Notamacropus eugenii: one gene and its partner. The protein of the gene in region 1 interacts with the protein of each later gene in a pairwise test. Links are inferred from orthologs where the notes say so. Each region holds a gene or a part of one and is shown in the gene's direction. Other genes may lie near its edges.

Region 1 (7,213 bases):
TCTCTGAGGCCTGTATCACCATCTAGCTTGCTCTCTTCAGGACACACTCAAGTTTCCCAATATTCTTCTTAAATATATTACATAGTACCCACAACTGAATATACTCCAGATGTGGCCTGACATAGGTATAGTAAAATGGAACAGACATTCAGGTTCTTATTTCCTGAATGCCAAGATTGCATTAGCTTTCTTAGTGGGCTGGCTAGTGCATTTGCTCTCTCACTCGCTCGCTCTCTCTCTCTCTCTTCCCTATTTTCCTCTCTCCTTTCTCCTTCTCTTTCTTCTTTCTCCTCCTGCTCCTCCCCTTCCTCCTCCCCTCTCTTTTCTGTTTCTCCATGAGTCCAAATGGAAGGACCTCTGTAGATTAGGACTTCTTAACTGGGGGTTCATAGACTCAGGTCCTTCTTTATTTTAATAAAATTTGATTTCCTTTGTAATCTTCTGTATTACATGTTATGCATTTAAACCCATTCTTCTGAGAAGGGATCCACAGGCTTCACCAGACTTATAATGAAGTCCCCTAAATGTCTGCAGAGGAACACTGTACTAATGCTTCAAGTATGGAAAGACAGTTGCCTCTTAAAGGGATTTAAAACCACTCCAGTTTAAGCCTCTAAAAGTTCACATAGGAAAAAAGAAGTGGATGAATAAATTGCTCATAAAATTTATATACAATGCACACTGTAAGGTTTTTCAAGTGCTCTATTTGCCAAGCCCAGGACAGCCATTCTGCCCATTATCCTGGACAGACATTGCTTGATTGGACCCACTGGGCTGGGCCTAACTCAAAAACTTCCAGGGGAGATTGCATTTAAAAAACTGTGCAGTTCTTTTAAGTTGCTGAAACAAAAACTAAAAAAACCCCCAAGATAAAATTCATCCCTTAAACAAAAATTATTCTTGTGATATTATATAGTTCTGAATCATGAAATGCACCAGGTTTCTTTTAACTAATCAAAAATGGAAGTAAAGAGATGTAGGAGTAGGTATAAATAAACTTACAAGCATATTTACTCTATTCCTATTGAAAAAAAGTGGCATAAGAAAAATTAAATGAACCAGTAGCCAATTAAAGCATAACAACAGAGATAGACCCAGTACTTACAAAATGCTGAGGTCCAGAGGAAGGGCCAGTAGCTCATTGAGTGGACTCCCTGTGGAGAATTTATAGGATGACATGGAAAAGAGTTGATGAGGTGTATAGAATAACTATAGTGTTGCATGAGATCTCAGTTTGGGTCAGTGGAAAGGTCACTGGATTTGGACTCAACCTGGATTCAGATTCTGAGGCTGCTTCTTAATGATTCAGACAAACCACTTTCCCCCTAAGTTTCTTCATCTGTAAAATAATGAAATTGGACTAAAGTCTAAATCTAGAACCTAGATTTTAGTTCTGTGACTCTGGAAGTGTTAAATCTTGTGTTTTCAAAGCACTCTAGGAAAGAAATGAGGAAAAAAACCTTGTGGCCACTATGCCACTACTTCAGAGAAGTGTTTAACCACATATTATCTCAAGGATATGAGAAGCTCTAGGGAAAGAATGTGGAGGCCCCAGCTAAAAGTTCTTGTTATGATCTATTCCAGGGAAGCTGGAATGAAATTTGGCCATGATTAAGCCGTGTGTGTGTGTATGTGTGTGTGTAAAAACCCATATACACATGTGTGTATACATACATGCATACGTATATACACACATTATGTGTTAATATATGCCACCAGTATAGTGTAGTGAAAAGAATACTAAATGCAGGTATCAGAGAACCTGAGTTCAAATTTTACCATGATATATATCTTTTGTGACCACCTTGGGTAAGCCATTAACACTTCTGTGCCTCATTTCTCCATCTGTAAAATGGGGTAGGGGACAGATGGAGATCAGATGGCCTCTGAGGTCCCTTCTAGCTTTAGTTCTGTGATCCAGTGGAGATAACCCTACTCTTGGTCCAAATCTTCACTGTAACTAAAGAGGAGGAAAAGAGGGTTGAACAGGGAAGTGTCACATTCTTTCATTTCCTAGGTTAAAGCTGAGAATCCCAAGTATGACCTTGATCTTTCTAGAAAAAAGGTTAAAACATCAGACAAATGAGGGCAATAGCTTACATGTACACAAGCTTTAAAGAACCTTACTCGGTTTTGCTTTATTATCCCCATATTACAAATCAGGAAGCTGGTGTTCAGAGGCTATAACTTAAGGTTTTCTGAATCTCAAATCCAGGGCTTTTTCAACAATTACTGAATTGAGTGAGAGAATTGAGATGTAACTGGAGGAAGGCCTAGGGTTGCGACTTGGGGCCAGACATGAGTAACATTTTGGCTTTCTTGTTCCCAAAGTCATAAATGTATCTCTCTAGTCCCACATATTCCTAAATACCCCTTTAGAGGTATGCCTCCTTAGAGACGCCTCCTCTTACCAGTTTTTTACTTAATTTTCATAGCCAAAAAGTTGAGCAGAAATCTTGCCTCACTTCCAGAAACTTCCTAGGATTTTTATCTGATAAGTAAACTTAGTTTGAGACTCTGCTGATGAAATCACAGATTTTTTCATGTGTCATGGAATATTATTTTACATTTTCCTAAGATGATTCAAGCTTGGGAAGGGATATAGGGATTGTTAATTCTTGCATTGGTATGGTGGGACATGATAAACAAGTCCAGGTTCATCTGTCGATCAGCCAGTGTTATTAATTGCTAGGTGCTAGAGAGATACATAACAGTGAATGAAACAGTCCTCCACTCCATCAGTGTCCACTGAAATACAGCACCAAAGAGGAAGATCTGAATCCTAGCTTTGCTCCTCAGACTACTTGTGACACTGCACAGCTACTTCCTATCATGTGCCTTCCCTGTCCTCTGTAAAAGGAGGGAGAGGGAGCCCAAGGGCTCTAAAGGCTCCCCAGAGTCTCCCAGTTCTAGCTCCCATAGATCCCATTCTTCTGAGCTTTCATTTTTCCTACGAGAAGAGAAGAGGTGATCCTCATGTGGACTTCTTTATTCTCCCTACTCTCAAAACTCCCCTCCGCCCTATGTGGTCCGTGCCTTTGTCCCGCTGTGCACCACACATGACTGAAAGGACTCAAACTTCTCCTAGCCTCATTTTGTAAGTGGAAGCTGTGGTTTCCCCCCTCCCCCCCAAAAGAAAAAAACGCCAGAGTCCGGATCTCAGAGGCTAGCAGTGTGCCGGGGCAAGCTACTTAAACTCGGCGCCTCCGTCTTCCCATTAGTAAAGGAGAGGGCTGGACTGAGTGACCTCCAAACACTCAGGAGCCCCTTTTCTTCTTCCTGATCTCATTCTTCCAGAGGTCTTCCTTCCCCTTACCCCCAAGGTGGGAGATGATGGATGCAGACCAAGGAGCTGACCCCTTTAAATTGTAGGGCTAATTAAGAGGAAGAGTGGGGAGGAATGTTTGGGGTCAAGGCCAGCGCACAGCCCCCCTTTTCTGTACCCCCCACGGACCTCCAGAAGCGTGCCTCTTTAAGTAAACTTGGCCCCTTGCTCAGTCTTCTCACCGATCCAGCCTGGGCCCCCCCATTCCTGCCTGTTGTGCCCCTTCTGCGTTCCAATTTCCTTTCCTCCCTTCCCGGGATGGGCGCTCTAAACCGCTTCATCTCCCGGGTTTCCCTCCGCCCCTTCCACCCCATCCTTGGATTCTCTCAACCCCCACCGTCCGGAGGGGGCGGAGACCATTCTCCAACCTCCTGTCTCTTTAAGAGACGCCGGAGCCTCTGGACTCCGCGCCTCGGCCTGACGCTAGAATGACAGCAGCTGGCCTGGTATGCCAATGCAAATGAACAGTTCCCCCCCCTTGAGGTGGGCCAATGGGAGACGGAGGTGCCGGAACCGCCGACCAATAGGGCGGGGGCGCTGGGGCTCACCATATAAGGAGCGGCCTCGCCATAAAAGGAAACATTGTATCTCTTTATATGGGGGGAAGGGTCGGGGGATCCCTCCGCCGACAGCGCGTGGTCCCGGCCCCCTCCGCCCGCCGCCGCCGCCGCCGCTGCCGCCAGCAGCTGCTGCTTTAGCCCCAGCCCCCGGGGGCACGTTGACGGCCGCGGGGCGCGCCGCCTGAGCTCTCGGACAGGGGGCGCTGCACGCGGCCTGGGGCAACCCGGGCCACCGGGGCAGGAGCGTGAGGGCCCGGAGCGGGCCGTGCAAGGGGCCCCGGGCTCGCGGCGGCGGCGGCGGCGGCGGCAGGAGCAGGAGCAGCAGCCTTCCGCAGCAGCAGGAGCCGAGTCGGGGCGGGGAGCGGAGGCCGATGGCGGCGGCGGCGGCAGCAGCAGTCCCGGCCCCGCGCTGATTGCCCGCCCGTCCGGACGCCAGCCCGCCCGTACTGAGCGCCATGTTACCGAGCCAGGCTGGGGCCGCGGCGGCGCTGGGCCGGGGCTCGGCCCTGGGGGGCGGCCTGGTCCGGGCCCCGACGGGGCGGCCGGGCGGCGGGACTCGCGGGGCTAACGGGGGCCGCGGCCCCGGGAACGGCGCGGGGCTGGGGCCCGGCCGCCTGGACCGGGAGGCGGCGGCGGCTGCAGCGGCGGCGGCGGCGGCAGCAGCGGCCACGGGGACCCTGTACAGCGGCAGCGAGGGCGACTCCGAGTCCGGCGACGAGGAGGAGCTGGGAGCCGAGCGGCGTGGCCTCAAGCGCGGCCTGAGCGACATGGAACTCGGCGTGGTGGTCGGAGGGTCCGAGGCGGCGGCGGCGGCCGTGGCAGCGGCGGCGGCCGGGGGCTACGGCCCCGTTAGCGGCGCCGTGAGCGGGGCCAAGCCGGGCAAGAAGACCCGCGGCCGCGTGAAGATCAAGATGGAGTTCATCGACAACAAGCTGCGGCGCTACACGACCTTCAGCAAGAGGAAGACGGGCATCATGAAGAAGGTAACGACGCAGGGGGTCCGGGCGGACGACCCGGCAAGGAAACCGGGACGGGGGGCGTCCGGGACGAGGAGGAGGAGGACCCAGGTGATGAATGGAAGGTGGTGCGGCAGCCCGGCGTGCGACCTGGGCTGGGGTGTCGGGGAGACCCGGCTGGGGAGGGCAGGGGGACGGGGCAGAGGAGGAAGAAGGTGTCCCACGCCCGAGAGGGACCAAGAGTGTGGCAGTGGGAGGCAGTGAGTAATAAGGGGGGAGGGAGGGAGGAGGAATCGTGGGCCATGGAGATGTTTGGGTTGGAGGGAGAGAGAGAGAGAGCGAGAGAGCGGAGGTAGTAACAGGACGAGTCAGAGGCTGCCAGGAAGGGGTGAGTAACAAGGCTCGGGGCATGGTGGGGCAGGTGTGAGTACAGTGTGCATGCAGAAGGCAGGAGGAGAGGTGGAAAGGTGTGTGGACAGATGGGGAGGACAGCGCAACAATGGGCCACTTACCCTGTCAGAATGAGATGGTCAGCCCGGAAAAGGGGGCAAGGAAGGAAGCGAAGGCCCCAGTGAGCTCCTGGAGACACGGACTGAGTCCCACAGAAGCGGAGGGGGGAGACGGGGAAGTCTACCTACCAAGATCTGTAGCTATCTATATTAATTGTACTTCTAAATCTATAGCTGTGATATAGAGACATAGCTATGCAGATAGATCTATACCCATATATACACACAGCTATAGAGAACTCTATATATAGATGTAAAGGGAGATCTATCTATATGTTTAGATGTATCCAGATATCTGTTGATATAGATGTATATTTGGTGGAGATAATGACTAGGATGAGGATGAGTCCAAGCTCAGGTAGATATGAGGGCTGACACAGAACAGATCAATGAGCATTGTGAAGGGAAGTAGAGAAGTATGGGGGGAGGGGAGAGGAAACCCCCGAGACCTTAAGAAGAAAGGCCGAGTCTGGTTTTCCAGAGAAAGTGGGAATGTGCTTAGGGTTTTGAGGGAAAGTTCAGCAATGGACCTGAACATCCAAATCCCAATTCCCCTAGAGACAGATTTACTCTCTCTTTTGTGGAAGAGGCCTGAGTTTCCTAAGCTTTCCGGCATGGTAAAAGGGGGTGGTAGGAGGAGTCTAAATTGTTAATTGAGATTGAGGAGATTGCCTTCCGGTTAGAGAGGAATAGGTGTTTGAAGAACAAGATGTCAGAGCCTTGGAAGTGCTATCCCTGTACCTGCCCAATGTAGAAACTAGCATTGTCCTGTTGGTCTTGGAAATCTTGGGGGTGGCATGGGGGGAGGAGAGCTGCCCACCCCTCAATCATCTAGAATGTAGATAGCTGTGGAGCTGGCTCCTCTACAGACTCCAACTCTTGGCCCAAGCAGAGTGATCGGTAAGGGTGATCCTCTGAAGTAAAAGTCTCACCTCTGTGACCAAAATAGAGGTGCATGGAAACAGGCTATAAGTTGTAAAAGATTCCTGAATTGAGAAGATTATCGTGGTTGTTGTGCATAGGGGCCTGACAGGGAGAGTAAGCAGAGCATTGCTCAAAGAGGCAGCTTGGTGTCCAGCAGAGAGAGAGCACCAGACAGGGAGTCCAGAAACCCAGATTATAGACCTAATTCTTTCATGAACTAGTTGGATGACCACTTCGGGCAAATCACTTCCTCTCTCTGGGCCCTGGCATTCTTCCTCTCTAAAATGAGATTTAGATTATTTCCAAGATCTTTTCAACTTTGGACATTCTTTATATTGATATAAATACTGATATTAACCCCTAAAAAAGCTGAGGATTCAGGAGCTAAAGGAAAGGTGATGGCATTCAAAGTTCTGCCAAGGGTGAGAAAGGGCATGCAACCTAGCATGGGTCTCAGGCTCATGCTGGACAGGAAGGTGACTTCAGCTGTTTGTGGAAATCCCAGACACATGTTTCTTCCTAGTGCCCTGCTTGCCTTTCAAAACGTTGGGGACTTAAAGGAGGGAGAGTGTGTGTGTGAGTGTGTGTGTGTGTGTGGGTGGGTGTGGTATAGTGTGGTGTGGTGTGGTGTGGTGTGTGAATGTGCCCTAAGGCTCCCAGCAGCTGTGCTTGGTCCTTGATTCTGCCCAAGTGGATAGGAGGACAGCTGAACTGAGCTCCTCCTCCCCTGTGGTTGACTGTAGGGTCATCAAGAGGGACCTGCAAACTATAACTACCTAGGGGAATGCTCATATTGCCTTGAAGATGATTGGGGGTACTTAGCTGAAGTATCATGGGGAAGGGTCTGTATGTTTTAAGTGTGTTACCCTCCTAGCTGAACTTCTAATGTTCTAAGAAATCTCTTAGAAACTCAGGACAGCATGGAGTCTCAAGGCCTGG
Region 2 (7,550 bases), about 330 Mb from region 1:
GGGTATCATTCTCCAAAATGGTTGGAGCAGTTTACAACTCCACCAACAGTGTGGCACAATGATATTCTATTACATTCATATGCTACATACCCCAAAAAGGTGAGCATCCCCTTAATTTCTAGATTTTTTCATTACTATGAAAAGAACTGTTATATAGTTACTTTTCATTTTCTATTTGGGTCAAAGGGTTTGGACAATTTTATAAATTTTTAGGTTAGCATAGTTTGAAATTGCTTTCCTGAATGGCTAGACCAATTCATCAACAATGTACTTGTATGTCTGTTTTATTGCAGCCTTTCTATCCCCAACACTGGTCATTTTCCTCTCTTGTAATCTTAGTCAATTTGATGGCTATGAGGTAGAATCTCATAGTTGCTTTAATTTGGATTTCTCTTGTTATTAATGATTTGAAGCACTTAAAAAATTTATATATAAAATTAAGTCACTTATTTTTAGTTTTCAACATTCACTTCCATAAGATTATGAGTTTTAAATTTTCTCCCCTTCCTTCTCCTCTCTCCTTCCCAATCTCATATAGGCTCTACTTATACATTCATATTAAACATATTTTCCCATTAGTCATGATATAAAGAAGAATTAGAACTAATGAGAGGAACCATAAGAAAGAAGAAACAAAACAAAACAACAACAAAAAAGGAGAGCAAATAGTATGCTTCCATCTGCATTCAGACTCCAAATTTCTCTGAATGTGGATAGCATTTTCCAGAGTGAGTCTTCTGGAGTTGTCTTAGGTCCCTGCATTGCTGAGAAGAGCTAAGTCTATCAAAGTCAGCCACTGCAATGTTAATGTCACTGTGTACAATGTTCTCCTGGTTCTGCTCATTTCACTCAGCATCAGTTCATATAAGTCTTTCCAGGTTTTTCTGAAGTCTGTCTGCTCATCATTTCTTATAGCACAACAGTATTCCATTACATTATATACCACAATTTGTTCAGCCATTCCCTAACTGATGGACATCCCCTCAATTTCCAATTCTTTACCACCACAAAAAGAGCTGCTATAAATATTTTTTGTACATGTAGGTCCTTTTCCTGGAGCATTTTTTCATATAATTATTAATAGTGGGAATGATTTTTAATGTTCTGTGTTTAGGAAAATATTACTGTTCTATTAAGAGTACATGGTTCCAGTAAGCAGGGATTATGCCTTTGTTTTCCTAGCCCCTAGCACACTGCCCTGTACATAGTAGGAATGTAATAAGTGCTTGTTGAATTGATTTACTGGAAAAAATGCCTGGCACAGAAATATTAGACTGCTTATGGCCCAAGGTTTAATTGGCCTTGTTGGCCTCTTTCTTTTTCCCTGCCAGACTTTTAGAAAAAGCAGTCTGCACTCACAACCTAACTCTCCTCAACTCCCCTGTATTTAATCTGTCACTGACTCCATATATCCAATCTGTCAAGTCTTTTCTTTTTTACTTCACAACATCTCTATAGGCTCTTATCACCTCTCGCCTGGACAATTGCAGTAACTAATCTTTAACTGGTCTTCCTGTCTTTAGTTCTTTCCTACGCTAAAGCAATTTTCTGAAAGCACAGCTATTACTATACATATCTCTCCCTTTTCCCACCAAATAAATTCCAATAACTATTATCTCCAGGATGAAACAGAAAATTTGCTGGAATTAAAAAGCCTTCACAATCTGGCCCCTTCCTACCTTTCTAAATCTTACATTTTACTCTTGTCTGCTCATTCTATGAGTATTCCAGCTACACTAGTCTGCTTTCTCAAATTCTGTCTTCTGTAGAAGGCCTTTCCTGACTCATTCCTCTCCCATCCTTTCCCTCTAAAATTGCCTCTATATATCGCATATGTCTTGAATGTACATAATTATTTGCATGTTATTTCCCTTATAAAAATGTGAGGTCCATGAAAGAAGGAACACTATTTTTTTTTTCCTTTCTTTGTATTCCCAGAATAGTGCCTGAGCATAGTAAGCATTTAATAAATACTTGTTGACTGACTCCTCAGTCTTTTATAACTTAGCCACGAGATGATTTCTATGCCAAAAAAATCTTTTTTCCCGAGGTTACCAATGACCTCTTTATAGATAAATCTGAAAGTCAGGATGGTATTGTGGAAAAATAATCTCAGAGTGGGGAATATGTGGGATCAGTTTCTGTCACATACTGGCTAAGTGACCTTGGGCAAGATACCACCTCTCTGTATTGGGCTTCTCTCAAGCTTACATTGCAGAACACTGCCAATCTGGGTTGGCAGAGGGACTTTCCTTACTAGGAAGTCCTTACCCTGATGAAGTAACATCTGTACCAAAAAGGAATAAATCCGATTGTTTTTATTCTGTCCTCAATTACTTTTACTAATGACTCCGGTAAAGGCACAGATGACGTGCTTATCAAATTTACAGCTGACTCAAAGCTGAGAGACGTGGCAAACAAACTGGATGATGGTCAGGATCCAAAAAGCTCTTAACAAACTAGAAGCCTGTATTGAGTCTGGCAGGATCCCCAAGCCAAGACCACCCCTTTCTTTTTACTATTAGGAGATACCCTGTTTTCCTGAGCTAAGGTCCAGCAAGTACCCTGAGCTTGGCATAACAACAGTCCTTTGCACTCACCCTCTACATGAACTCAGCCTCGGCAACATCCCAGTATTGTTTCACACCTGCACCAGGTGGTCTCTTGAGCTTGTTTAAGTACCTGTAGTACCTGTGTCCCAGTCATAAAATCCTGCTATGAATCAAGCTTGTCTCACTGTAGCTGTCAGGGATACAGCTCACTGCGCAGCCTCTAGCGCATACGCTGAGATTTACCCACACTAAAATAGGTCTCCTACTACAGGGGGCCTGGCACATGTATCTAGTTTTCCTCCTCCGATGGAATAAAAAGCTTTTGCTTATGACTGCAGTTATCCCTTTGGTTTTATTTTTTATTTTATTTTTTAGAGTTAACTGCAGTTTTGATAACTTGTGTGAGCTCTCTGGTTTTGTTTTGTTTTTGAGTTAACAGCAGTTGCAGAGTTGCTGTGGCTCTTTGGTCGTTGGGTTAGAGTTGACAAGTCAAATGAGTTGAAATTGAATATGGATAAATGTAAAGTCTTACAACTGGGCTAAAAACCCTACTTCACAAGTACAAGCAGTGGGAGGGGAGGAGAAAGAGTTAAAGAGCAGTTTGTCTGACAAAGATCTTGGGGGTTCTGGTGGGCTTCCAGGGCAGTGAGTCAGCAATGCAAGAGGACCCAGGATAAAGTCTTGGGGGGGGGGGGGGATATCCAGTTAGGACAATTGAGTCATGGGAGAACTAGTACCGTGAAAACCAAGAGGATGGCCAAAGACTGCAGAAAAGCCAAGACGGATACATATAAACCATTCCGTATTTACTGAACTAGTATATACTTATCCAGGGATAGTTTGTATCTCTCTAGTATAAGGATTCTGAACCTGGGATGAACAGCCTCCTCTCTGGGACAAGATTTCAGCAGGTCCATGAAACTGGAGGAAGAAAAATTCTACCTTCAGCCTCTAACTGAAATTTAGCATGTGCTCCCATTATTATAAAACACCGCAGAGAAGAGGGCCGCAGGCTCCCCGGGCTGTCAGAAGGAGAGCTCCTTGGGCCGGCACCGTCTCTCCTTCTCGGGTCTGTATCCCCAGAGGCAAGCAGGGGAGGCGGACTGGGCACAGAGTCCTTCCCCTTTGGGCTCCCGTTTACCTTCCTCATTTCGTTTCATACAATTCTGTGTATTCCCAGCATTTAGCTACAGTGCCTGACACACAGTAGGCGCTTAATAAATGCTTACTGACAGACTCTTAATTGCGGTACCTCCCTTCCGAGTTATCCATGTATTCTGTCTGTAGCTTGCTTTGTATATATTCGTGAGTCCTCGGAGGGCGGGCACCTCTCTTTGGCCTCTTTTTGTATCGTCGGCGCTTAGCCGGTGCCCGGCACCAGCAGGCGCTTAATAAATGCGCGCTGGTCGGTCACGTGCCAGAAAGAGGGGTCAAGGGCGATGGGGGAGGAGCGCGCCCCTGTGGCCGCTGGGGTGGGCCGGCCAGGGTTAGCTAGTTCCACGGGGAGTTCCGGGCGGCGGCCCTGGAAATCCCCCTCCCCCGGCACGGCCGGGTCCGGACGCTCGGGGCCAGGCGTCCTGGAGGGTGACCGCGGCCGCCGCGCCTCCCGCTTCCGGCCCCGGGCTCTGGGGGGGTGGCGGCGCTCCTCCCGTCCGCCCGCCCCGCCCCCGGAAGTGACGCAGACAGCTACCGAGGCCGGGAGGGGTCGGGCTCGGGCCGGAGGGCGGCAGCGGCTGAGCAGACGCGGCGGCCGCGGGGCCGAGCCGAGGAACGCTCCGAGCGCGCGCCCCCGCCCCCGCCCATCCGCCCGCTGGCCGGTCGGTGAGGGCGGCTAGCGGCCCGACCGCCCGGCTCCGTTGCCCAGGCTGTGCGTGCGTGTGCGTGCCTGCGGACGGAGGACGGAGGACGGGGACGGGACGGGAGGAGCGGCGGCGGCGGGAGATGCGGGCGAGCGCGGGCGCCCGGCGGGCTCGGCTGGGCCGCCGCCGCCTCCGCGGCCGTAGCGCCCGTGGGCTGCCCGCGTGAGGAGACGGCCGCGGGGGGCCGCCGCCGGGGCTGAGCCGCAGCTCGGCGGCGCCCGAGGGAGAGGAGGACCTGAGGGAGACCCCGCGCCCTCGGTGAGTGAGCCTCGCCCCTCGCCCCCGCCCAGCGCTGCTCTCGGGGCCGCCGCCCACGCCGCGCGCAGGAAGCGAGCGCCCCCTCCCCCCCGAGCTTGGGGGTGGGGCCGGCGGGGGCGGGAGAGGGAGAGGGGTGGGCGCGCCCCCCAGCCCGCTCCGATCCTCGGGAGCCGCAGGCCCCCCAGCCCGCCCACGACTGCGGGGCGCCGCCAACCAGAGCATCCCTGTGTGCGGTGCGGGCCGGGAGGAAGGGAGGGAGCTGGATTTCGTTCGCTGGCAGGAAGTCGGAAAATGAAAGCACAGCCCTGGGCTGCTCCCGAGGGAGGCCTGGGGGCCGGCGGCGCTCCCCAGGACTTTGGTCGCCCTGCTCCGGCCACGCGGTCATCGGCCTTGCCCCCTCCCGCGGATCCGGCCGCTCCTGCTTTGGGATACCCTGGGATCTCACTTTGTTCCGAGGCTGGTCGTGGCGCTGACCAGGGGACTGGTCAGAAGCACGTTTTTCTCCTGCGATTATGCCTCAGGTGCCAGGGATGCCAGAGTGAAACGAGAAGCGCCCAGGAACCTAGAGCTTAGCTGGAGGGACAAGACAGTAGGGCGTTCTGTGTTACGAGAAGTACACAGGAGAGATTCAGAGAGGCAGGAGACATTTAAGAAGGAAGCTCCCCTGAGAGGTGGGAGGACTCCTGGCCGGGGGCCACCCGATCTGGACTAGGAGACGGCGGAGAAGGGCTGTTGTCTGGGACAGCCCTGAGAGATGCTGTTGCCGTTTTTCCTACTCTTGGCTTTTGATGTTTGTAATTCAGTGTGACCTTTCCCGACCCCATTTAGGGTTTTCTTGGCAAAGAGAATATTTTACTCATTTCAGCAAAATCTGTAGGATGCTGTTTGCTTTAAAAAAAAAAAAGCCACAGAAATTCACTACACCTTTAGGTTGCTAGGTCATGCCCTTTTTTATGTTTTGATCTGGTAGGAAGTATAATTTTACTTCTAGAAAAAGCATCATGATGTCCTGGTGCTGAAAGACATTGGTTCAAATCTCAAGTTCTCATATTTACTAGTTGTGTGACTTTTTGCCAAATCTCAGTTTCCTCCTGTTTCACTTAGGAGCAATCATCAGGCAGCTTGGCATAGTGGAAATTGAGTGGTGACCTGAGTTTGGAGATCTGGGGCAAATCACTTCAGCTCTCAGCCCCAGAGAAGATGTGTATTTGCATTGGTAGTGAAGGCACCTCTCTAGAGACTCCTTACACTTAAGAAATTACAAGTTCCTCAAAAAATCCTAGTACAAATACTCTGCAGAATGATGAAGTGAGGAAAGTGCATCATAGACTTTAATGTACTTTAACTCAGATTTGTTTCTCTAATGGTATCTTTATTAAAGTGTTTCATGAGTTTTGATATTCTATCTTAATCTTCCATCCCTCTTGTATTTCAGTTTTGTTTCCAAAGTGCCTAAGTGGAAATCAATTACATTATTAATAAAGTATCATCTTTTCCAAATGCTGCTATTTGTAATATTTTACTATATATTTCCAATACTATTTGAGTACACTCATATGGGATTAGATTTTTTAATTTTTTAATGTTCATATTTCAGTATCAGTTTTGGTCCATTTAATGAACTGAGATGATTTTATTCTATCTATAATTGAAGTTTTTTTAAATCTGTTTTTTGACAATTATGCTCTGTGTCACTATGGCAACTGAATAGTGTGTATTGTAAACATGTTTAGGTTGGAAAAGGTCTCACTTAGAGACTTCTTTTTCATAATAAGAAAGTATTAACATTATCAAACTTTGATATAGATATTATCCTTTATCCCAGAGTTAAGAAATCGCATGTATATTCTGAAATTCTCCCAGCTTTAAGATGTTCACTGCATATTCAGTTGCAACATATTCAGCATCCCACTTGTATTAATATCAGCTAATTTATTTTGAGAAAAGATCATTTTATTTCTCCTTTTGTTTTGTGCTGAAGAAAACACAAGTGTCCCTTCTTTGAAGCTGTATTTGAAAAAATGTTAAAATAAAAATATAATGTATTCACCTTTTTGAACCACAGTGACAAGAATAAGGTTATCTTTGCTTTTTTTAAAATTTAAGCTTTCTTAATATAAGCTCTAGAGGGTCATAAGGTAGTAGTTTTAGAACTGAAAGGGACCTTAGGCCATCTCGTTCACTCTGATTATTTTACAGATGAGGAAACTGAGATGAAGAAAGGTTAAATGATTTACCCAAGATTATATAGGTAGGAAGATTGGGGTGGACTTTGAAGGGAGGTCCCCTGATTCCAGAGCCAATAGTTATTTTTTCTTCTATACCATTCTGCCTTGTGTGAGGTTTTCTTGACAGCTGTCCCTTCCACTTAATACCTTATGTATATTTTGTATTTATATGTATACATATATGTATGTGATATCTTTCTAAATAGGATGTAAATCCCCTAAGAGCAGAGAATGGTTCATTTTTGTCTTTGTATTAGGGCCTGGCACATAGTAGACACTTAATAAACACTTGCTGATTGAGTAGAATGTCTTAAAAACAAGTTGTCTATTTAAAAAGATATTACTGAAATCTGTGTTTATACCATAATTTCAGAAAATAGTATTTAGGAATTGGACACAAGGAATAAGTAGTCAACTAAATCTTGGCTAAGATGTCAACCAAAGAAAAGCTTGATGTCCTAATTGAATAGGATAATACCAATTGAAACAGCACAGTCACTTCAAAGAATTCATTTCAGTGTGGCAGTGTTCCTCTTTCCTTGACTGTCATTCTCAACATCTCCAATTCCAAATGCGTTAGATGTATTTGATGTCATTCAGTGCCCAGAGAAAGTGTATTCTGTAATATAGTTTCTGCATTTGATATACTCACT

Evidence for each region.
Region 2: the proteins of SRF (region 1) and ELK4 interact in a two-hybrid assay, tested with the Homo sapiens proteins (2 studies listed by BioGRID and IntAct). The link is inferred for Notamacropus eugenii from reciprocal best matches to the Homo sapiens genes SRF and ELK4.

What each region holds. Positions count from the first base shown.
Region 1 is NC_092873.1:106,071,553-106,078,765, forward strand, and holds the start of SRF (serum response factor), read left to right. Parts: upstream 1-4,207; 5' UTR 4,208-4,340; coding exon 4,341-4,868; intron 4,869-7,213. UniProt on the Homo sapiens protein: SRF is a transcription factor that binds to the serum response element (SRE), a short sequence of dyad symmetry located 300 bp to the 5' of the site of transcription initiation of some genes (such as FOS).
Region 2 is NC_092873.1:433,841,832-433,849,381, forward strand, and holds the start of ELK4 (ETS domain-containing protein Elk-4), read left to right. Parts: upstream 1-4,534; 5' UTR 4,535-4,669; intron 4,670-7,550. UniProt on the Homo sapiens protein: Involved in both transcriptional activation and repression. Interaction with SIRT7 leads to recruitment and stabilization of SIRT7 at promoters, followed by deacetylation of histone H3 at 'Lys-18' (H3K18Ac) and subsequent transcription repression.